Linked DNA regions of Alligator mississippiensis. The protein of the gene in region 1 purifies or fractionates together with the protein of each later gene. This does not show direct contact. Links are inferred from orthologs where the notes say so. Each region holds a gene or a part of one and is shown in the gene's direction. Other genes may lie near its edges. The genes, in order: KIFAP3 and KIF3C.

Evidence for each region.
Region 2: the proteins of KIFAP3 (region 1) and KIF3C purify together in Homo sapiens (co-immunoprecipitation; 3 studies listed by BioGRID and IntAct, counting the BioPlex papers as one, with this or other methods). This does not show direct contact. The link is inferred for Alligator mississippiensis from reciprocal best matches to the Homo sapiens genes KIFAP3 and KIF3C.

Annotation. Positions count from the first base shown.
Region 1 is NC_081828.1:45,975,788-45,987,531, forward strand, and holds the start of KIFAP3 (kinesin-associated protein 3), read left to right. Parts: upstream 1-5,974; 5' UTR 5,975-6,072; coding exon 6,073-6,104; intron 6,105-11,744. UniProt on the Homo sapiens protein: Involved in tethering the chromosomes to the spindle pole and in chromosome movement. Binds to the tail domain of the KIF3A/KIF3B heterodimer to form a heterotrimeric KIF3 complex and may regulate the membrane binding of this complex.
Region 2 is NC_081824.1:1,327,430-1,339,004, reverse strand, and holds the start of KIF3C (kinesin-like protein KIF3C), read left to right. Parts: upstream 1-7,021; 5' UTR 7,022-7,593; coding exon 7,594-9,006; intron 9,007-11,575.

The DNA of each region.
Region 1 (11,744 bases):
TGGAGGTCTGTTAGTGCCTGAGGGGCATATGACCACCTTGATCCCTGCCAGGGATCATGTTTAAGGCAGATGGGGCCAGGGAATTTTGGTGTGGCCCAAGAAGGGCAGAAAGAGCCCAGTGAGGGGCAGGGCCTGAAGCCCAGAATGGCATGGAGCCCCAAACAAAAGAGTAATGCTTGAGGTGGCCTGGTGGCCTTGGGGATGAGCATCTCACTAGATGTGGCAGACAAAGTTATTTGGGTAGATGTGATACCTCTTATTAAACCAAACGAATATCTGGGGGCCGGGGGAAATTATTTGCAAGCTTTTGGACACAAACTCCATTTGTCCAGCATGGGGAGACTCAGCTGGTGCTATCTGTTCTCCAAAGTAGAAAAGCTAATTTACAATAAGCATGTTTGACATCTGTGAGGCATGTGCAGAGCTGTGGGGAAGGTATGGAGCCCATAAGGCAACAGGTGCCTTGAAATGGCCAGGAACCCCACTTAATGGAGAGCTTGCTCTGATGGGAAGAGTCGGAGACAGAGAAAGGTAGGAACTGATTAGGGCTTGCTTTAAGCCCATGGGCAGTCTCCCTTTTCAATTTCTTAATGAGAACAAGCTGTGGCAAGTGAAGAATAAAGGGAAGGTATCTCAGAGATCAAGTTGGGCAGGAATCGTATAGCTGTTGGGGTGTTGCAGCTCCCCTGGGGCCTGGTCCTGTTACATATAGACATAGACTACATTTCTTAAGACAAGAAAAGAAAACTACACAAGCACTGCTGGGTTCCCACAAAGGAAAGTACGCTGGTGTGTACTCTAGTATATAGTCTTCTGTCCTTCTTGGTTCTGGTGGTTTGGGTAATAACAGACAAGACCCACTAGAAAGATCTCAAGCCATTGAGAGAGTTACCAACCAACTCCACAACACTACAGTGCCTTAAGGGTTTACATTTGGAGAGGAAACATGATGTGGAGCAAAAGCATAGATACAAGACATGGTAGCAATTTTATTAGTAAGAAAATGGTAAAATGGACTTGTGGGAAGAGGAGGATTAGGTTACAACTTGTAGTAAAACTTATATGCTATACAGAGTAACAAGGGATTGAAGCTGAGAGAAATACTCCTTAAAACTATCTATAAAATCAGTGTTTTTCACTTCATCCAGAGCATTCTTGAAAGCCCAGCCTTTTTAACTGTATTCTGGTTAGCCAGCATCTGGATGAAAGCAGGAAATATAGAATAAGTCTTGATTTCCATTCCCTCAAGATGAAAAACAATTCAATTGCATGGCAAACAGTTTGTCACACTTGCAGAATCTGGCTGAAGACATGGATGAGCTGAAGTCATAGTTTGATTGGCCTCTCTGGTCTTTTTCATGAGACATGGAGCACTTCACGCATGCTCCAATGTGTTGCATTAAGACTTCTAATGGGAACATTCCAGTGTGCGGCAGCATCTTGTGTATTCAGCATCCCTGCACCTCAAAATGGCGGTAGGGGCAATTTTAACTAAAGCTCATTGAACAAGTCCTGCTGGTGCCACCTTGAAATATGGGGTGCTGAATACACAAGACACTGTAGGAATTTTTAATTAAAGCAGCCCTTGAGAGCCGCTCTAATTAAAATGCACCCCCACACACCCCTCGCAAGCATGTATATAGGTGTCCATAGTTGGCTAAGTTAGTTTAAAGTCAAGTGGAAAGCAGGGGAAGTTTGCACCTTGTAGACTAATTAAATCTTTTTTTGGAACTCGCTTCATTGGACTAACTCTAGAATATTCCACCCAGCAAATTCATTTCCTAGACACTACAGTGAATGTTTGCAATGGCCACATTGTGTTGGAAACCAACTGACCACCACAGCTACCTTCATACCACCAACTTTCATCTTAACCACACCACTAGATTCACTGTCTACGGCCAATCCATATGTTACAATCATATCCATGCTGATCCCACTGGCTGGGATGCATGCTTTAAAGACCAGGAGCAGGGATTCCTACAATTCCAATACAATTCCAGAACTGTAGGCACTCGGATCAATAAAAGCACACTTGGATATCATGCTAACCTCCTATAATACCAACCCCGGGACAACAACAACAAAGTCTCTCTAGTTGTCACCTACAGCCCCCAGATCGAACACCTTAAATACATCATTAATGACCTCAAACACCTCCTGAAAAAGGACAAAATTAGTCTGTAAGGTGCAAATCTTCCCTTCTTTCCCATGATGCCACATCTGTGAACTGACTCATAAGAGTACATAGCTGGGACTCAACACTGAAATATCCTTACAAAAAATCCTTACCCTGATGTTAAAGTCTGGGGTGTGAAACTGTGATCATAATACAATACTGTGTGGTGACAAAAGGAGTTGGGGAGGGTAAGTGAGGACAAAAATTACCTTCTTTAAACCAGCCCTGCTGTAGAATGCCAAACTGCCCTTACAGCAGCAACTGTGGCCCTGTCAACTGTTGTCTAGTGTATAAGACTTGTTGGGAGTAGTTCAATAGTCCAAATGTACTTGTTGACAAAGCAAATGGATTAAAATTGGCTGCTGAACCACAAATTGCTGCTAAAAAGGTTTCATTGGGTTTCTGGAGTTATATTGGCACTCTCACAAACAAATGTATCTTCTAACTATTGGCACTGTAAATTGACCCTTGGCATTCTTTCCCCATGCGATATGGGCAAAGTCAAAGCAGAGCCTAAAAGGACAAGACTTGAAATGACAAATGTTTGCCAAATTATCCATTTGGAACTTCTTCTACGTTCTGCATGTGTTTGGATAAAGTTGCTCACATGTTTACATCTTTGAGAGATCAAGACAACAGAGCTTAAATAGACTGTAAGCTCCTTGGGGCAGGAACCATCTTTTTATTCCATGCTTGTATGGTGCTTAGCATCATAAGGATCTAACCTATGGCTTGGGTTCCTATGATTACAACTAATAGCATGGGTGTAAGCAGACTGGATTGCATGATTTGCCTCATTTGAAAGAGGCAGAGTGAGAAACTGCAAAATTATAAACATGTGGGAAAAGCATGATGTGCATGCCTATTACAGTATGATTGCCTTTTGGAGAAGGTTCATGTTTCTTTTGATTGGGAACTGGGGGTGGGGGGAATGAGCTGAGGACTGGAAGCCAGCTATTCTTAAACTTTGTCACAGGTGGTGACCACAGTCAAATCACTTCACCTATCTCTGCCACAGCTTCCCTGTTGGTAGAGGAGACAATGAAACACTATTGCCACAAACTACAGTTGCTCATGTGTATGCATTTTGTAGGATTTGGGGCCTATGTTTACACATGTATGTGTTGTTGCTTAGAACATGACATATTTGAAGTTTTTACTGGAAACTATAAATATTCAAGGATCATAAGCCAGGCCCCTACAATCATGCAACAGGCCTAAAATTCCTGGGATTATTTTTTAAATGATATGTCATCAGATCCTCGGTGTTTTCTGTTTTAGAGTCACATTTTCAATCTTTCTCTGTGGAGCCATGAAGTCAGAAATATACTTTTTTTTTTTTTAATGAAACCTGCTTCTCACACCTTCAGATGAACCTAAGGAAAAACAAGTATCACAAAATCACATTACAAATGTTGGTTTTCAGAAAAATACCAAATACTGAGAGACATGTGAAAAAGTTGTGAAAGTTTAGTTACCTGAATGGAAAGGAGCAAAGATCCTGAAATATCCCTTAGAACTCACACCAACTCTCAAAGGAAACTTTAGCAAACTGCTACTACACACAAACTTTTCTTTCACGTTGTCCAAAAATGCAAATGAGGGCTGAAATGCTTTCCTTCAAGTTTTTTTATTTCAACCTAGAAGCTTTTTAGTGAAGCTATGTGTAGAGCTAAAAAAGTGCCCAAAATATCAGCTTTATACCTATACTTCACTGAAACAACCTGGTTAAATCCCTCTAGTCCTGCATTCATCCCAGGCAGAAAAATAAGAGTTCCTGCATATTGCTCTGTGGGTACAAAACCTGGATCTGCAAAGGGATGTGTGAGGGTCTGGAAGACACCACAGCACTTAAGGCAAGAGTAGGTGTTTGTCCTGGCACCCTTGTGTCTGGGACCTGTCTGCAATTGGGATATTTTCTCAGCAGTTTTGAACAGGGTTCACAGTGTTGCCAACCTCTGGCAATTTTACCACAGGTCTCACAATATTTGGTGTTTTACTTCAAACCCCTGCTCCTGGAAACAAGTGATGGTGTGAAAAGCTCAGCTTTCATGGAAAAGAAAAATTCCTAGCATTCAGAATTGTGGTGAGGAGGTTGAGAGTATGACCTGACTGTAACCAAAAGGCTCAAGACCAGATGGCAAATAAGAGCTCAGCACTTCTTGTTGTTGTTGGGTTTTTTTGTTGTTTTTAAAAGATCTCGTGATTTTTGGTGCCTGACTCATGATTTGGGAATGCTAGAGGCTGGAGCTACTGGGCTCAAGTTACATTGGCCGCAGCTGTGGTGCAGACCTGGTGCTAAGGTTCTTGGTTGTAGTCAGTGTTGGTAAGGACATAGGCAACAAGGTTCTTTGGATAGATGTGGTATCTTTTATTAGACCAACTAAATAGTTGGGAAAATTGGCAAGCTTTTGGGTACAAACACCCTTCATCAGGCATAGGGAGAGTCTCCCCCCTGCCTCACACCTATTGTCTCCCATTCCCTCAGATCCTCACTGCTACTTATTTGCATTTGCACAGACCTGCATTGTGCATATTGTGCTTCTATTCTACCCAGGAGAGCGCACACAACACCAGCAGACTCGCCCTATGCCTGACAAAGGCTGTTTGTACCCAAAAGCTTGCAAAGAACAATTTTTCCAGCTACTTAGTTAGTCTAACAACAGATATCACATCTAACCACAGAACCTTGTGTGACCTGGGGGTCGGTTTAGGGTCACCTGTCCTATATACACTGAAACCAGTGCACTGTGGGCATGTCAGGAGCCTTAACTTGCCTCGTGCAGGGTACTTACTGCAACTCTAAGCACTGTGAGTGAACCCTTCATGCCAGTTAGAATCATAGAAAATGAGGGTTTGAAGGGACCTCCAGAGGTCATATAGTCCAATGTATTTCATTCTGTGGGTTGCGACCCAAAAGTAGTTCCCAAAAATATATGAAAGGGTTGCGAACAAACTTTAAAAATGGATCAACAAACTTAAAAAATGGATTCTCCTTTAAAGGAGAGAAACGTGGGAAATCATCACTTTTCCCTTGCAAGCTGTCGGCGTTCCAGCCTGCGAGGGGCTCCTCGGGCCTCCTCCTGCCCCACACACTTGGGGGCTGGGACCTGGGGGTAGAGGGCAGCGGGTCTAGAGTGAGGGGCACTGCGTCAGGACTGGCCATCAATGTTTACAAATGGGTCCTGGTACAAAAAAGGTTGAGAATCACTGATCTAATCCAACCCCCTGCTCAAAGCAGGACCATCCTCAACTAAATCATCCCTGCCTGTCTAGGCAGGCCTTAAAAACCTCCAAGGCTGGAGATTGCACCACCTCTCTGGGTAACCTGTTCCAGTGCTTCACCACCCTCCTGGTGAGAGAAGTTTTCCTAATATCCAACTTAAACCTCCCTTGCTGTAACTTGAACAAGGCACCCCTGCAAGCCTCAGACCTCCCCTCTAGCTGCTCCTGGGGTACCACAAAGGTGTGCTTGGAGCTGCATGGGTGGGAGACCCTGAGGGTGGGCAGACACTGTCCGGACCCAGCCCATGAGGCTACCAACAGCAGCCCTGCACTACAGCGGAGGCCACAGCCCTGCCGAGGGCTGACTCCGCCCCTGAAAGCCCGAGCTTGGCGATTCCCTTCCAGCCTAGCGGGTCATCGCAGGCCCGGGAGCTTCCCCCGCCGCGCCTCCAGGGGGCGCTGCGTGGCACCTCCCTCCGTGCCCAATCTCGTGCGACTGCCTCGCCAAATCGGTCCCGAGCGGGCCTCTCTGCGCACGCGCGGCGCTTGCGCATTGCCGGTCGCGGCGTGTGGGCGGAGCCGGCGCTGCCTCACCCTGGTAACCGCCGGCGCGGACAGCGCCCTGCTGCTCGCCCGGGCCTCCGCCCCGCCGGCCGGCCGGCCGCACCATGCAGGGGGAGGACGCCCGATACCTCAAGAGGTGACGCGGCGGGGATGGGGTGGGTGGGGGTCGCGGCAGGGCTGACTCCCCTCGCATCCAGGCCGGGTCCTGCCCTGCGCTTTCACGGGCTTCCCTTGCCCCCCATGTATAAGGATTTGGGGTGGGGGCTGGGGGTATTTTTCTACGTGTGTGGGAGGGTGGAGGCCGGGGGGCAGGTATCCCGCTCCTCTCTTCCACTCCCCACCCCGCGCTCTTGCATCCCCTCTGGCAGCCCCTTGTGTCCTTAGTCCCAGACAGGTGAGTGGGGGCGGGCGCAGGGGATGCCCAGCGCATCCCCGGCTCCCCCATGATTCAGCTGGTGACGCAGGTTGTTGCTGTTGTAGAGGATGGCGTTCTTGCCCGTGTGTGCTTTGTGCTGATTCAGTGAATACAGCCCCCCCACCTCCCTCCACTAATGGATTTAATTCAATGTGCGCCAGTCCCTGAGTTTGGTGTGCGCCAGAGCTCTTCTGTCCCGGCAGGGAGGTTCAGAAGAGAAAGGTTGCACGGGAGCGAGATTCATGTCACTTCCATAACAAAGCAGGTGAACAAAGCACAGAGCGATGTGGGCGTGTGCTGACCACCCAGCATGGCGTTTGTCCTGCAGGCCTGAGCAGCGATCCACATCTGGATGATTTTTAAAGTGGGCGGCTGGCTGCGAAACTTAATCTGCAAGAGGAATTCTTTCCTGGGTGTATTTCCCTTTGCTTCAGTTAATAATTTCCTTTGTGGCACTGGAGGCCCAAATAAGATATTGTTGTAGTGGACGGTGATAATGCTGAGTGCATCTGTAGCCCTGTACAGCTGTCAATTTTGAGTCGCTTTAAAAAGAAAAAAGTTTTTCGAGGCAGGAGCTGAGATGTGAACTGGTGAAAGAGCAAATTCTTTAAACAGGACCTTGCCCTCCTAGCTGGGATAGCATTGGCACTATGCATGGGCGAGGGAAGAAAATGGTTGTCCCAGCCATTAGAGCCTGTAACAGTCCAATAACTAGAGCAGGTTTTGTGACCCATTACATCAGTCCATGGGAGGGGGATAAGGAAGAAAATATAGCATCTCCACAGCAATAATGCCTCCAGTCAAGCTTGCCCACTCTATCCTGTTTGGGGGCAGGGCTCATGGGATGCATAGCACACATTCCTGAGAAGGGAAAAATCTTTGAGGAAGTGCTAGATCTCTGTGCAGAGCAACTCACACTGGCAGATTTCTCCTTCTGTACATTTGTAAATACTTCCTATCCTGTCCCTGAAGAACAGGTGTTGACTCAGCATAGGATGTCAAAGAGAAGTAGTGCTGGGTAGTTTCTCCCATGAGATTAATCCTGAGATAAATGGAAGACAGTGACAGAACTGGTATCTTTTAATTATCTCTCTTTAGGGTCTTGATTCTGGGAACTGTTCCCTTTGGATGAACCCCTCCACCTTGTGGAGACTCCACACAAAAACACATTGCAGAGCCAGGTGCAGACTATCCTATCTGCCCCAAAGAATTCCTAGTGGTGGAAGAAGTTGCTCTACAGAAGAACTACCAAGAGTACTCCTACTTGCTCTATGACAGTGTTTCCGAACCTTTTCCAGCCCAAGCCACGCTTACATTAATAAACACTTTCCATGGCATTTACCTATTAAGGCATTCCCCATCCTCATACCTATTGTAGCTCATTGCCATGACAAAGTTCCGCAGAATGTCTGTTCGTTTCTGATGGTACACTTTTGTGCCACGGTGCACTGGTTGGGAAACACTGCTCTATGAAAAGAAATATCTGAAAGCTTTAGGGCTGGCAACCTTGCTGGATTGCCCATACACCATGCTGACAATGGTCAAAACCGTCTTAAAGGAGACTGATGGGAGAGACAACTTGGAAAAGAACATCATCAGACTGCAGAAGGATCAGAAAGGTTGCTGAGACTTGACACAAATGCTTAATAAGTCTTAGATTAGAGAGAATAAAATTTTCCTCTGTTTGGTGTGGGCTTTATCCCTCGCTAGGCAGGGTTCATCCGTTAGGAAAGGAGATGGTCATGGTATAGATCTAGGCCTGCTGTGAACTGATCTGCGGCTCGCAATCTTTTTCATGCAGCGTTATTTTGTGGTTCTATAGCTTCTTCTGTTGGAGGTTCTCAGTGTCCTCCAACCCCACTTGGGACGCAGCTAAGTTTTATTTGCCCCACTTATAGAATGGGGACATAGAGGCACAGAAGAGAATAAGTAAGTCACCTGATGTGGGTTGATGACAAAACTATGAATTCAGAACCCTGGTAACATACAGCTGTTGCCATCCCTGCAGAGAAGGCCCCTCCTTTACATTGCTGGTCAGTTTTTGTTTATGACCAGTTGGGTTGTGGTTACTACAGTGAGGGGCTATGCGTACTGTTCCAATTTTCCTGCAAGTGTGTCACTCAGTCCTGGGGAAGCTGGATAGCCTTGGGAGAACTTCAGCAGCAAGATGAAGATCAGGGAAAGTGTGGGTCCCTTACTGAATGGAGGAGGCAACCTAGTGACACATGATGGGGAAAAGGCTGAAGTACTCAATGCCTTTTTTACCTTGGTCTTTAAAGGCAAGATCAGCTCCCAGACTACAGTTTGGGGAGGAGGTGAGCAGCCAGCTGTGGCAAAAGAACAGGTTAGGGACTATTTAGAAAAGCTGGGCCTGTAGAAATAATTTGGGCCGGACGCAATGTACCCAAGGGTGCTGAGGGAGTTGGCTAATGTGATTACAGATCAGCTGGCTATTATCTTTGAAAACTTGTGACAATTGGGAGAGGTCCTGGATGATTGGAAGAGGGCAGATCTAATGCCTGTCTTTAAGAAAGGGAAGAAGGAGGATCCAGGAAACTACAGACCAGTCAGCCTCACCTCAGCCTCTGGAAAAATCATGGAGCAGACCCTCAAAGAATCATTCTAAGCACTTAGAGGAGGAGAACGACAGGCAGCATGGATTCAGCAAGGGAAGTCATGCCTGACCAACCTGATTGCCTTCTATGATGAGATGACTGGCTCTGTGGATGTGAGAAAAGAGCGGTAGACATGATATACTTTGACTTTAGCAAGGCTTTTGATATGGTCTCCCATAACGTTCTCGCTAGCAAGCTAAGGAAATATGGGTTGGATGGATGGACTGTAAGGTGGAAAGAAAACTGGCTGTATTGTCTGGCTCAGAGGATAGTAATCAATGGCTCGATGTCTAGCTGGCAGCCAATATCAAGTGGAGTGCCCCAGGGGTTGCTCCTGGGGCCAGTTTTGTTCAGTGTTTTCATCAGTGACTGACCTGGAAGATGGGATGGAGGATACCTTCAGCAAGTTTGCAAATGACACCAAGCTGGGGATGTAGTAGATGCCCTTGAGAGTAGGGCTAGGTTTCAGAGAGATCTTGACAAACTGGAGGATTGGAACATAAGAAATCTCATGAGGTTCAATAAGGAGAAGTGAAAATTCCTACACTTAGGATGGAACAGTCCCATGCACTGGCTGGGGACCAACTGGCTAAACAGCAGCTTTGCAGAAAAGGACCTGGGCATTACAGTGGACAATAAGGGCACGCTGTTGGCTTACATTCAGCTTGTTGCGAAGAAGGCTAATGGCATACTGTGCTGCATTAGTAGAAGCGTTGCCAGTAGATCAAGGGAAGTGATTCTTCCCCTCTGTTCAGTGCTGGTGAGGCCACATATGGAATGCTGTGTCTAGTTTTGGGGCCACTACTATAGAATGGGTGTAGACAGACAAATTGGAGAGAGTCCAGTAGAGGGCAACAAAAATGGTTGGGGGCTGGGGGACATGACTTATGAGGAGAGGCGGAGGGAACTGGATTTATTTAGTCGGGAGAAGAGAAGACCGAGAGGTGATTTAAAAGCAGCCTTCAGCTATCTGAATGGTGGTTCCAAAGAGGATGAAGCTAGACTGTTCTCAGTGGTGGCAGATGACAGAACAAGAAGCAATGTTCTCCAGTTGCAGCAAGGGAAGTTTAGTTTAGATATTAGGAAAAACTGTCTGGAGCAAGTTACCCAGAGAGGTTGTAGAATCTCCATCCTTGGAAGTTTAAGACCCAGCTAAGCAAAGCCTTGGCTGGGATGATATAGTTGGGGATGGTCCTGCTTTGAGCAGGTGGTTGGACTAGATGATGTGAGGTCACTTCTAACCCTTATTTTTATGATTCTGTGATCGTCTGCCCAGAAAAGAGTGAATCACCCTTTATAATAAATGGACCAAAAGAAAATAATTAAAGTAGACATGGGCATCAATTGGAATGTTTACACTGCTTAAATGGCAGAGAATTGGGGGGCGGGGGGGGGGGGGGGAGGAGAGGAACGCTGAGTGCCAGAGGCAGGATACTGAGTGTTGGAAAGTCTTAAGACGCATGGGGTTCTGCTATGGTACAGGCTGTTGTTACCATAGTGGCGACTGCCACCATTTTGATGCCCCCTCTCAATTGGCATTGGGCTGATGCCCTATGTGCCTATCCTTAGTTATGCTACTGATAATACATGTCTTAGAAGCAAGAATCAAAGGCTAAATTCAGATTTGCTAGCACTTGCAGCTCTCTCTGTTGTTAGTGGCTTTCAGTACTGCTCAGTTTCAGGTGAACAGTCTTGACTGATTTGGTATGAAATGTGAATAAATATAAGAATGGAAACAAAGCCATAAGATGCCATTGCATGTATATATAGGTAGGGCATGGAAAATTGTTTAATGTTCTATGTCAGAGTTGTAGAAAGTTGGTCTAGGCCTTTCTACAAATTTTCCCATCCTCCCAACACGGACTCTTGAGCAAAATAGTCCATCAGGTTCCATAAATTGCTCTTCCTCTCCCAAACTCCCTTACATATTAGCCCTAAAACTGTAAAGTGCTGAGCACCCTCAGTTCTCACAGCGTGCAACAGGAGCCAGGTGCGTTTAGCCTGTTGTAATATCAAATCCAGTGCTTTTCTGAAGTATGCTGTACTCCACTTATCAGTGTATTATTTTCTTGATTGTATAACACAATCCCAGTCCTAATTTAAGTGTGCTTACATATAACAAATATTAATTATCTGCATATTGGTTAAGTGATAATTGACGTATGCTTCTAGAAATTCTTTGGCTCTAATATCTACTCTGTGAAGTAATTGTAGTCTGTTTAGTTGAATGATAGGTGAAACTGATTAGGGATGGTCAATGTTGTCACCTAAATCAGCCCTGAATGACTAGGTCCTGTCAATTTCCAGGTTTTTAGAGGCCTGAAGATTATGAGGAACAGGGTAACCAGCCTTAAGGGGGTTTGAAAATCTTAGCACAAGCTGTTTCTGTAGTTGATGAGTTTTGTTTGTGTAAGTACCTAGCCTTTTTTTAGTCCCCAGGCTAGGCATAGGATCCAAGTACAACTGTAATCTCTTGCTACACGTTGCTTAGGGCTGTGCGAAGCTTTGGTAGGCTGATTCAATTTGGCGGAGATTCGGCCTGAATCCTAATCAAATCAGAAGACCCCTTAATCTCTCCAAATCGAATTGGAACCCTCCAAATCAATTCAGAAAGATTAGGAGAAGTTTGATGATTTGGACATAGACACAGCTTTAAAAGTTTTTTCTACATACCTCAAGGTACCAGGTGGCTTGAGTGCTGAGATGCTGGGGCGGATGGAGCATTCCACAGGGGCTGGTGTCCCCA
Region 2 (11,575 bases), on another chromosome or scaffold:
CCTCCCGCTGCCCAGAGCCACGGCCCCCGCCGACAGAGGCAGGGGGTCCAGAGCATCGCTGCTCTCCCAGTGGGGAAACTGAGGCACAGCAGGACTGGGCGAGTCAGCAACAGAGATGAGACGAGACCCATGCAGCCCCGGCTCCTGCTCCCAGGCCGCGGTCTGCCCCATGCTCCCCGGGGCCCAATCCAGACCCCATCTCAGTCACCAGTGAGCCTTGGACCAGGAGCTTGCCTGGGGATGGAGGTCGGCCCGGCGGCAGCAGCAAGGCCTGGAGGTTGGAGGGGCAGCGGAGGGAGGAAGGCAGCTCCAGCCACCGTGTTGCAGTGGGTCCTGCAGAGGTTGGGTCTCACCTCTCCAGCAATTAACACCCGTCCCCACGACTCGGAGGAAAGCAGAACATCACCCCGGCCCCGCGGGTCACGGCCGCTGCTGGCGCACACCGCGCGGGGCTCGGAGGCAGCGGAAGGGAACTGGCAGGGGTTCACAGAGCCACGAGCCTGGGCTATGAACCAGGGAGGCAGGGACCAGTGGTGCTCAACCTTTTTTAGACTCACTGCACCCCTGAATAGGCTCGAGGCCTCCCTCAGAAAGTGCCAGCTCTTCGCGTTGGCCTGCAGAAAGCCAGCAGAGCGATTCTTCTGTTGCAGAGGACTCCAGGAGACCACAACTCTGGATTTCTATTGGAAATCGCCAGTTTTGTCCGGTGAATCGCATTTCCAAGCCTAGCAGGGCGTACGTTGTGCGGGCCCCTGCAGCACCCCTGAAAAGGTCTCGAGATCACTAGCTAGCTAGATTTCGTGAGCTCCCTCTCTCTAGCTATACAGCCTATCTGCTTTGGTTAGTCTATAAGGTGCAAATCCACCCTGCCTTCTACGTGACAGACACAGCAAACTCCATCTCAGTGAACCGGGAAGCCCCAGACTTCATGCTCAGCCCCTCGGGAAGAGGAAGGGGAAGAGACCTTTCTGCAGGCCACAGGCCCCCTCGCAGCGAGCGGGAGCCGCTCAGGCTGGCGGCACGGCGAGGTCCAGCTCCTGCTAAACAAGTCCAGATTCATCGTCCGCTGCAGGGCCCTGCATCCTGCCGGCACCCAGGTCTTCGGGGCAGCGGTGCAGGGCGGTACTGAGATGCTGCCCCTGCCCCAGGCCCATCGACAAGACCCCCAAGCTCCAGCTGAAGCCTCTTGCAAGCACCCCCTCCTCCCTGGCAGCTGGTGATGGCGTGGTTCAACCATCACCGGTGCCCACGGGTGCATAGCCCCAGCACCGCTGCTCACGTCGTCCTTCGCCGCATGGCCATGGCAGAGCACCTGGCTGCAGAGATCTCGTGCTGGGATCCCTCCGGACCAAACTGCCAGCATCCTCCCCCACTGCATGAGCCCCCGGGGCAGCGGAGGGGGAAACGGCACAGGGCAGGAGGGGTCCTCGAGGCTTTCAGCTCCCCCAGCTCACAGTGCCCAGCCCAGTCCTCTGGAGTCTGCGCCACGCCAAGCCACCACGGAGAGTAATGCTCCCCTGGGACGGGCGAGCCCAGGCTGCAGGACGAGGGCAAGTCTCCCTGCCTGGCTCTGGCATGCGCTGGCGCTGCCTTGGGTTGCACTGGCCTCTGCTGGCAAGAGCCAGCATCTCCTGGGCCCCGAGCCCCGTCTGCCAGCCCGGCTCCGGGAGCGAGAGGCAAGGCCAGCCGCGGCCGGGCCGGGCATCGCATCCGCACAGGAGTCTCACGCCCCTCTGCTCCCCAGATCCCGCCTCGGGGCCGGTGCCTTGGGGAAACACAGCCTTCATTCCACGTGCAAACCCAGCCCCCGGCTCCTCGGCACCACCCCAAGACCAGTGATGGGGCAGGGGGTCCAAAGTGCACCCCAGGCAGGGGCCCAGCCCCAGAGCCACGCGTCAGCACAGCGCGTGTGAGCTGTCCCTGCTGCCCCTGACGGTGCCATCTCCTGCGCCAGGCAGCGGCCGCCTTCTGCAGGCACCGGGCTGCTTTGGGAGCACAACGTGCAGCGCCGCACACCCAGAAACCCCCACCGCCACACCTCCTGTCCTGCCCCCACCTCCACCTGAGCAAAGGGGAGTTGCCTTCAGCTCACCGTGGGGTACCCCCTCCAGGCTGGCGACGTGTCCCCGGATGGCTTGGTGCCTCGAGGGGGTGGCAGGCAGGGCTCCAGGAGGGGGTTGCAGTGTGGACACTCACACCCGAGCAAGGCTGATCCTGCACCAGCTCTGCAATGAGGACGGGTTGCAAGAGAGGGTCGGGGTCCAGGGCCAGCCAGGGGGGCACACATCCAGGAGGGTGCTTGGGCCCTCAGCCCTTTGGGACGCGGGTGTCTGTGCATCCAGTGTTTGTGCAGCACCCAGGGTGGAAGGGCCTGATCCTGTCCTGAGCCCCATCTGGCGGCTCAGAGCCCGCTTTCCTTTCCCGTGCATAGGGCAGGGGATGCACTGTCCGTAGCCCCGTTGTCCTGCTAGCGCTAGCCTGCGCGCGAGGAGGCAATGTGCATCCGCTAGCAGCAGCCTGGTTTGGAGCCCGGCAAGCCAGCCCCGTTCCCAGGCCAGCCAGCCTCTCTGCCTGTCTTTGCTCCCGGTGTTCGCCCGGGATCCTACAACAACACACTGCTCCCCTGGCGTCCCAGCTGCCCCTTCCCCTTCCCGGTGCCCCTATGCGGCAGGCAAATGCAACGCCCATTTTGCAGGTGGGCAAAACTGAGGCAACAAGCGCCCAGAGCAGGAATCCAGTCCGTGTCCTGCCTGCCCCCACTGCTCTGGATGGGGTGGGATGAGATGCTGGGATGAGCAGTGTGAAGGCCTCTAATTACGTCCAGGACAGCTCTGCCAGCGTGCTCCCCAGGGCACGTCTCCGCTAGGGCCCGAGGGGCAGGGGTGCAGTCCTGTGTCAGGAGAGCGGTCGTAGCCGCCGGCGGGCCTCTCGTGCCCTGGGCCGCGGAGGGTGCGCAGCCACTGGCGGGGAGCTGCGGGGTCACATCCAGCCCAGCCCCTGCCTGAGGCAGGATCAGCCCCGTGCAAACCAGCCCGGACAAACCCCACGCGCAACCTCTGAGCCACACGACACCGTCACCCGCACACAGCCCCAGGCATCGCCCCCATCCCTGCCCCCAGGAAAACGGGGCTGCAGCCGCCAACGTCCTGCTGCTGCAGAGGGGGTTAATGTGTGCTCAAGAGACCCCAGGCAGAGCCTGTGCCCCAGCTATAGGGGAAAGCAAACCCCACCCCGCACAGCCCGTGCCCATCTGAGCAAAAGGGAAGAAGGAAAAGTCCCGTCCTTACCCCAACGCAGCAGCAGTCTGATCCTGAGTGGAGGGGCATAATGGGGCTAGTGATCCCAAGCCCGTGGGGGGAGAAGGGAAGCCGGTGTCTCTGGGCACGGACGGTGCCATGCTCTGGACGTCTCCAGCACACGAGCCAGGCCGATCCGTCAGCAGGTCGGCGACGTGGGCGCTGGGAGCGTGACTTAGCCGGGACACCCCTGCCCCAGCCCAGCCTGCAGCCCCGGACCAGGGCCCTGCTCCCCCACACCATCACGCATCGTTCACTGCAGCGCCAGGCCCGTGGCAGCGAGGAAAGCACCGCGATGCCTCCCCCAGCCCGTGCCCGTCAGCTCGGGACATGCCGAGAGAGTCGTGGAGGCAGAAGAGCCCAGCCAGGTCCCCTTCCCCACGGAGGGCTGAACCGAGCCTCAGCCCCCCGCCAAGGGGTGGGAAGGGGCTCCATGCCCACGCTGCGCAGCTCAGATTAAGGCAGCTGAATAAACACCCTAATTAATTCATTAAGGGTTAATCTCCTGTTCTAGGGAGCGGGCGGCTGCTGCGACTCGATTAACTGCAAGAGGTTTAATCGCCCACGAAGCCCGTCACGGTGGGTCCCCTGCAAAGCGGTGGAGATTATTCCGAGCCGTGCGGACACGTGCGACTGCCCCAGACCCCCCATCCCATCTGCGTGGGGCAGGGAGGGACGAGGGCAGAGGCTGAGCCAGACCCCTGTGTTTGCAGGCACTGTTAACCCCCTTTGCACACCCGCCCGTGGCTGCAGGCACCGAGAGCACCCCGCAGCCAGTCGCAGGGACAGGCGCGGGTGTTGGGGTGCTGCCCATGTCCGGGGGGGGAGCTGATCCAAGGGACCGGCCCCTACCCCCAAGTTCAGTGTGACCTCAAGCAGAGAAGCAAGACCCCCACCCCCAGCCAGGAACCGCTGAGTTGTCTAGTACCAGCAGGAGCATCCTGCAGCCCAGGCACAACCCCACAGCCTTAGCCACGGCCAACATCCCGCTGCTTCAGAGGGACGGGGAGAAATCCCCCAGAAGCCAGCAGCATCCAGGAAGGGAGGCAACTTCCTTCCTGGCCCCTAATGGCAACCAGCAAAAGCCCTGATGCATGGGCTTGCCAGACACCTTCCCCATGACAAGAGCCATCTTTGTACCTCACCCAGGAACCGCACACGACCCACGTAACACGCACCGATTGGCATGCCAGACGCCTCTGTCCTGTGAGACCAGCCCTTCCACAAACGTACCCGGGTCAGGCTAAGGGATGCTCTGCGCTCCCACCGTTTTTCCCTGAATTATAGAAAATGAGGTTTGAAAGGACCTCAGGAGGTCACATCTAGGCCAGCCTCTGCTCCAAGCAGGACCAGCCCCAGCTGCATCATCCCAGCCAAGGCTTTGTCTACCTGGGTCTTCAACACCTTCAAGGATGGAGATCCCACCACCTCTCTGGGTAACCCATCCCAGCGCTTCACCACCCTCCTTGTGAGAAAGTTTTTCCTAATATCCAACCTCAACTTCCCTTGCTGCAGCTTGATCCCATTGCTCCTTGTCCTGTATCTGCCCCCACTGAGAGCAGCCCAGCTCCATCCTGTTTGCAGCCCCCCTGCAGGGAGGTGAAGGCTGCTATTCAATCCCCCTCGGTCTTCCCTTCTGCAGACTCAATCAGGCCACTTCCTCAGCCTCTCCTCACCAGTCCTGTCCCCCAGCCCACAACCATTTTCACTGCCCTCCACTGGACTCTCTCCAAGACAAGACCACTCCAGAACTGCCCTCCGTGGAAAGAAGATTTCTAGCTATCAAATCTAGATGGATCCAGAGTCAGTTTGTAGCCACGACCTCATGCCAGCGTTGGTTTTCAGCCTAAAAAGCTCTTCCCCTTCCCCCATGTTCACCCCAGAAAGGAACGGGTCAAGAGCGCTCCCAGTTTCCACTTCTAAACCAGAAGCTCCACTAATCTCCTTTCATAAGGAAAGGCCTCGCTCCCCTTCGCCGGCGCCGTGGCTCCTCTTTGAGCTCATTCCAGTTTCAGGTCACGTTCTGCACCTGGCGACCAGGCTGGCACGCCCGGTTCGCTCCCAGTCTGGACCAACGGTCCAGTCCAGCAAGGCCCCATTCAATCCTGGTGATCTCCTCCTGGGCTGGTAGCGGGCAGGCGACGGGGGCACCCTCTCGGGCCCACCTCCCTCTCCAGGAATCCTAATGATTTCGGCTCTAATGACCTCTCTCTATCCGTGCCCCCCCATGATTTAAATGAAGGACTTCCAGCTCCCCAGCACAGACCTCTGCAGCTGGAGCTAAGGGGGTTACCACCGCCCGGCCAGCAGTAGTAAGCTGTTACCTTTTATTGCATGCGAGCTCAGCAGGTCTGAAGCGTGAACTTGCCTGTCCTCCCCTCTCCTGCTTCCACCCTGAGCCCCGAGGTGGAGGTTGCCCACCAGGATGGGGCAAAGCTCCATCTGGTGACTATACATAGATAGAAAACTGCTGATATCTGCAGAATGACCTTGCCCCAAATGCCCCCCTGTCTGCTCCTGAGGCAGAAGAGGGGTGCTCAGGTCACCCCGAGGTGCTTACAGGGTGCAACGGTGCACTGGCCCCCAAAGGCCCTGGATTCGAATCCTGCCGTGCCCAAGACGGTCTGACCAGACCTGTGCTGCCGAGACGTTGCCGGCGGCGCTGGGTAGGATGGTCCCTGAGGACCAAGCTTTCGGGCGGGCTGTGCCTGGGAGCAGGGGCAGGGGCAGACGTCACAGGTCCACCTCTACTGACACCTGAGCTGCTCCGGATTCACCCCGGGGGCTGCAGGGAGCACCAGGCTGCACTGCTCCATCCTGGGCCGCGGCGCGGCTGGGGGGCAGGCAGCAGCCAAGCCGTCGAGGGCGGATGTCTCATTGCTAAGATGGTGGCGTCCTCTGCACGGCGGGCAGTGGTGTGCATGCACACACTTGCACACACCTGTGCACGTGCACGTGGCTGTGATGAAGCCACCCTGGCGGGGTGTAGGGACCAGGTGAAGAATAACCTCCCCGGATCAGCTGTGCCTGACCCCGCAGCTCCAGTCCCCCCAGCCTTCCCCCACACGTTTCTCCAGGCCTGAGCTTGGCCTCTCCATATGGATGGATGCTCGGCGCAGCCTCCCTTGGGCTCATCTCCCCATGAGCAGGGACCCCTGCAGCAGGTCGCCGCTCCCCTCTGTCCCGTGCAGGGCCGGGTCCGTGCTGGGTGCATCAGGGAGGCCCCCGGGTGCCAGGACCCCCTCCGCCCCATGTGGGTCTGGAGGGCAGTCAGCACACAGGACCCTGGGCCAGGTGACCCCCTGCCCCCAGCCGGGCAGCTGGAGATGACCCCCACACCTCTGCCAGCCGATGCACGGACCCTTGGCATCACTCCCACCCTCACGCCCTATCCCAAGCGCTGCCTGGGCTGTCAGCATCCCAGGCGCGGTGCACGGAGCCGAAATCCCCACTGCAGCCGTGGTGCAGCAGGGGTGGGGAGGCGGCCCTCCCACGTGCAAGAGCCGCAGCACCTGCCCGCAGGCCCCCGGCCCTGGGGAGAGGACCCAGGGGCCGCTGGCCTCTCCCCAGGGCTGGCAACAAAGGCAGGACTACAGCTCCCAGCGTGCTGGGCTGCGGGGCAGGGAGGGGGCTGGGGCTGGCAGACAAGCAGCATGTTGGGGGGGGGATGTTGCTTTCCCCTCCCTGCTGCATCCGCCGGCCCCCCCCAGCATCCGCCCAGGCAGCATCGCACAGGCCCGCCCAGCGCCCTCTGTTTTCCTCCCTCATTCTCGCACACACACGCATGCACAGCAGCTGCCGCACTGCAATGAATGAGGATCCGGAGGGGCAGGCCAGGCGCTGCCAGCCCTGGCCCTGGAGCCCCCGGGGGGTGCTGAGCCCCCGGCTGCCCGCAGTGCCAGGGACCCTGCGGCCGGCCTCCGCCGCGGGGAACTGAAGCCCACCGAGGCGACGCTGCCCTCAGCTTGGGGGGTTTCTCTCTCTCTCTCTCCCCCCCCCCACCATTTATCTGCTTTTCTCCCCTGCTCTATAGCCGGCGCGCCAGCCCCCACCCTGGGGTGCAGCGGAGCGGTGCCGGAGGGGATGCTGCCCGCAGCTTCTGCCTGACTGCATCCATTGTGCGGGAGGAAAGGAGGCGGCTCCAGGGCACGGAGCAGCCACAGCAGCGGCAGAGGCAGAGGCAGAGGCAGCGTCGCCAAGGGACAGAGCCGCAGCCCCTCCGCTCCATGCCGGCTCCGGCTCCGGCTCCGGCTCGGGGGTGAGCAGCGCAGCCCGGCGGCGCGGGGCAGGCGGGACCATGCTGGCCCCCAAGCCCAAGCTCAGCGAGGCGCTGAAGGTGGTGGCCCGGTGCCGCCCGATGAGCCGCAAGGAGGAAGCCGCCGGGCACGAGCGGATCCTGGAGATGGACGTGCGGCTGGGCCAGGTGACGCTGCGCAACCCCCGGGCCTCGCTGGGGGAGCTGCCCAAGACCTTCACCTTCGATGCGGTGTACGACGCCAGCTCCAAGCAGGCAGACCTGTACGACGAGACCGTGCGGCCCCTCATTGACTCGGTGCTGCAGGGCTTCAACGGGACCCTCTTCGCCTACGGCCAGACGGGCACCGGCAAGACCTACACCATGCAAGGCGCGTGGGCCGACCCCGAGAAGCGCGGGGTCATCCCCAACTCCTTCGAGCACATCTTCACCCACATCTCGCGGTCCCAGAACCAGCAGTACTTGGTGAGGGCCTCCTACCTGGAGATCTACCAGGAGGAGATCCGGGACCTGCTGGCCAAGGACCAGAACAAGAAGCTGGAGCTGAAGGAGAACCCGGAGACGGGCGTCTACATCAAGGACCTCTCGTCCTTCGTGACCAAGAACGTCAAGGAGATCGAGCACGTCATGAACCTGGGCAACCAGACCCGGGCGGTGGGCACCACCAACATGAACGAGCACAGCTCCCGCTCCCACGCCATCTTCATGATCACGGTCGAGTGCAGCGAGACCGGGCTGGACGGCGAGGACCACATCCGCGTGGGCAAGCTCAACCTGGTGGACCTGGCGGGCAGCGAGCGCCAGAGCAAGACCGGGGCGCCGGGAGAGCGGCCGAAGGAAGCCTCCAAGATCAACCTCTCCCTCTCGGCGCTGGGCAACGTCATCTCCGCCTTGGTGGACGGCAAGAGCACGCACATCCCCTACCGGGACTCCAAGCTGACCCGGCTCCTGCAGGACTCCCTGGGGGGCAACGCCAAGACCATCATGGTGGCCACCCTCGGGCCGGCCTCGCACAGCTACGACGAGAGCCTGTCCACCCTCCGCTTCGCCAACCGGGCCAAGAACATCAAGAACAAGCCGCGGGTGAACGAGGACCCCAAGGACACGCTGCTGCGGGAGTTTCAGGAGGAGATCGTGCGGCTCAAGGCCCAGCTGGAGAAGCGCGGCATGCTGAGCAAGCGGCGGAGGAGGAGCAGCCGGCGGAAGAAGGCGCTGGACGGGGAGGGCGCCCCGGAGCACGAGGCCGAGGAGGACCACGAGGACGGGCTGGAGAAGAACATGGAGAACTACTTGCGGGAGCAGAAGGAGCGGCTGGAGGAGGAGAAGGCGGCCATCCAGGACGACCACAGCCTGGTGAGCGAGGACAAGCAGAAGCTCCTGGAGGAGAAGGAGAAGATGATCGAGGACCTGCGGAAGGAGCAGGAGGCCACCGAGCTGCTGGCCACCAAGTACAAGGTAAGCGCCGGCCACGGCTTCGGCACGGGGTGGGGCCCCGGCGTGGTCACCCACGTCCCCGGTGGGAGAGCCCCGTGGCGACGTCCTGGCCCTAGGGTGGCCCCAGGCTACCTGGGGTGCTCGGCTACGGGCCAAGCCCTCACCAGTGGCACGAGCTGGGCCTCAGCGGAGTCCCGTCCACGTGACCCAGCGGCTGGCAGAGGTTGCTAGGATGATGCTGCAGATTCGCATCCCTTGTGCGGGCGCGACCTGCTGAATATGCATTGGCCAGCAGACCTGGCGGGGGGGGGGGAAGGGAGCGGCGAGGGGGGGGAACCCCCCGACTTCCTTTTGTCTCCAGCATCGCTAGCGGGCTTTAGATAGACAGGGCAAGACGCTGGCTGAGCACCGCGGGCATCGGCCTCCCCAGGGCACCCCTGCGCAGCCTGGGGGACCCCAGGGACCCCCTGCTCACGCCCCGACGGGCTTGTTTTGCCGGCAGCCGCTCAGTCAGGGGGCCGAGGCCGGGGATGCTCTGCTCGAGTGCGGCCCGCGGCTGGCTCTGGGGTGTGGCTCAAGCTCCAAAACAGCGGGTACCGCATGGGGAGGGATGGAGACTCCCCGGCAGTGCTGTCACCTGCACGGAGACACAGTCCGACGCGCGGGGAGGAGGGGGCCGCCCAAGGTCACGCTGGGAAGGAACCCAGGCATCCGGCGCCCACCCACCTCCGCTCAGTGGCAGCTCCTTTCCCCCGTTTTCTTGCTGGAGCGGGTGCCCAGGTCGGCGGCCTGGGCACCGTGAGCCTCCCCACGCCCCGCCTCGCGGGAACAGGGGCTCTGGGGCTGGCAGGGGTGGCTCGGTGCTCCCCGAGAGCCAGGAAGCGGGGTGCTGGCCAAGTCCCGTGGTGCGTCTCCCGTGTCGCTGGCGGGGTGTGGGGGTGCCGGCGTTTGTGATCCTGGAGGAGGGGGGGAGCTGGGGGTGCAGGAGGGGCCCTCCTGGCGCTTTAACCCCTTGCACGCCACAGGAGACCGACCGCCTGCTGCGGGCCAGGAGTGCAGGGGATGGGCGCTCTCTGGCCGTGGGGAGGGGCGGGTGGTCAGGGCAGGACGCAGCCCTGGAGGCTCCTGGCTGCGGCGTGGCCTGGTGCAGAGATGCCTCGCCGCCTCGCCGCGGATGCAGGGCTGACTGCTGCTCCACGCAGCACCCAGAGGCCGGCGGGGCCGCCCCGCAGTGACCGATGCCTGCTCCTCCCGCTCCGCCAGGACCCGACGGGCAGCCCCCAGCACTCGCAGGGCACCCTGCTGTGATATCGCAGGGATGGGGGAGTGGGCGTCTGGCTGCCTCCACCCTTCCCGTGCTAGTTACTGCCCTGGCGAATTCACCCCCTCGTGGGAGGGCAGCAATTCAGGTCCCCTTTCCCACGGCGGGCTCTGGAGCCAGCACCGGGCAGTGGTGTGCATGCACACAATTGCACACATCTGCATGCCAGTACATATGCAAATGAATGCGTGCACCGGGGTTCGGCATCCTCTGCACACTTGGCCTAGACCCTCCTGGCTCCGTCCTTCGTCTCCCTCGGTTCAGTGCCTCGTCCCTGCCTGTCTGCGGGGGGGAGGGCTGCCTCTCTGGTCTTGCCCCTTCCAGGTCTTGCTCTTGCTCTGCCCCGGCTCTGCTGCTGCTCCCCCGCCTGCAGTCACGGCCTCTGATGGTGCCAGCCCTGCCCTGAGCTGCTGCTGGCAGGGGGGACGTTTCTATAGGCCCTACAGGAACCGCAGATACTGCACTGGAGAGAGCGAGGTCTTGGGGCCGGGAGCGAGACCCCATATCCCTCTAGACTTTCACAGGGCTGAGGTTTGTGGGGGCGAAGCGCAGGCTCTGTCTGTGACGTCCCCTCCCTGGCGAGATGCGGCGTGGCTGGCCCAGGGCCACCGCGTGTCCTGTCACTGCTGAGTAACCCAGCAGCGGGGCCGGGGCCTGGGCATCCCGGCTCTCTGCCCTCACCCGCAGAGCGTCCTACCTGCCCGGGCTGTTATAGGTCCAAACCCTTGCCGGGCGCGCTGGGTGCTGTACGCACAGAACTGGCCGGCATCCAGGCCACGGCCACGTCCTTAGGCTTCGTGGCAGAGCAGCATTTGAAGGAGGGCAGCGGCAGGCTGGGCACATGGCTACAGGGGCCGCGAAGGGCTCTGCAGATGTTTACCCGGACCCGGGGTGGGGAGTCTCTGTTTTGCACGGTGCTCGCACCTGTGCCGGCGACTGCCTCGGCCCGGCACATAGCAGCAGTCGCAGCGCGCAGGTCTGGGAGCCCAGAGCCAGGCCTCGGCCAGCTCCCTGAGCGCTGGTCATGGCCTCCGGCCTCCACGTGAGAGCAGCTTGCTCCGGCCAGCTGTGTCCCGCTGACCCGTCGAGGCTGCCGGGCGCTCGTGCCAGGCCGGGTGGCACTGCCCAGCGGCCGAGCCCCGCGGGCAGTGGGGAGGGGGCGCGGGGGAAGGGGCCGGGAATGCAGCGCGGGCATGAATGAGGCCCTGTGTCCGGCACATTCCCTCACTCATTTAACGAGCATAATAACGATTAGCAAGCAGCTCGCCC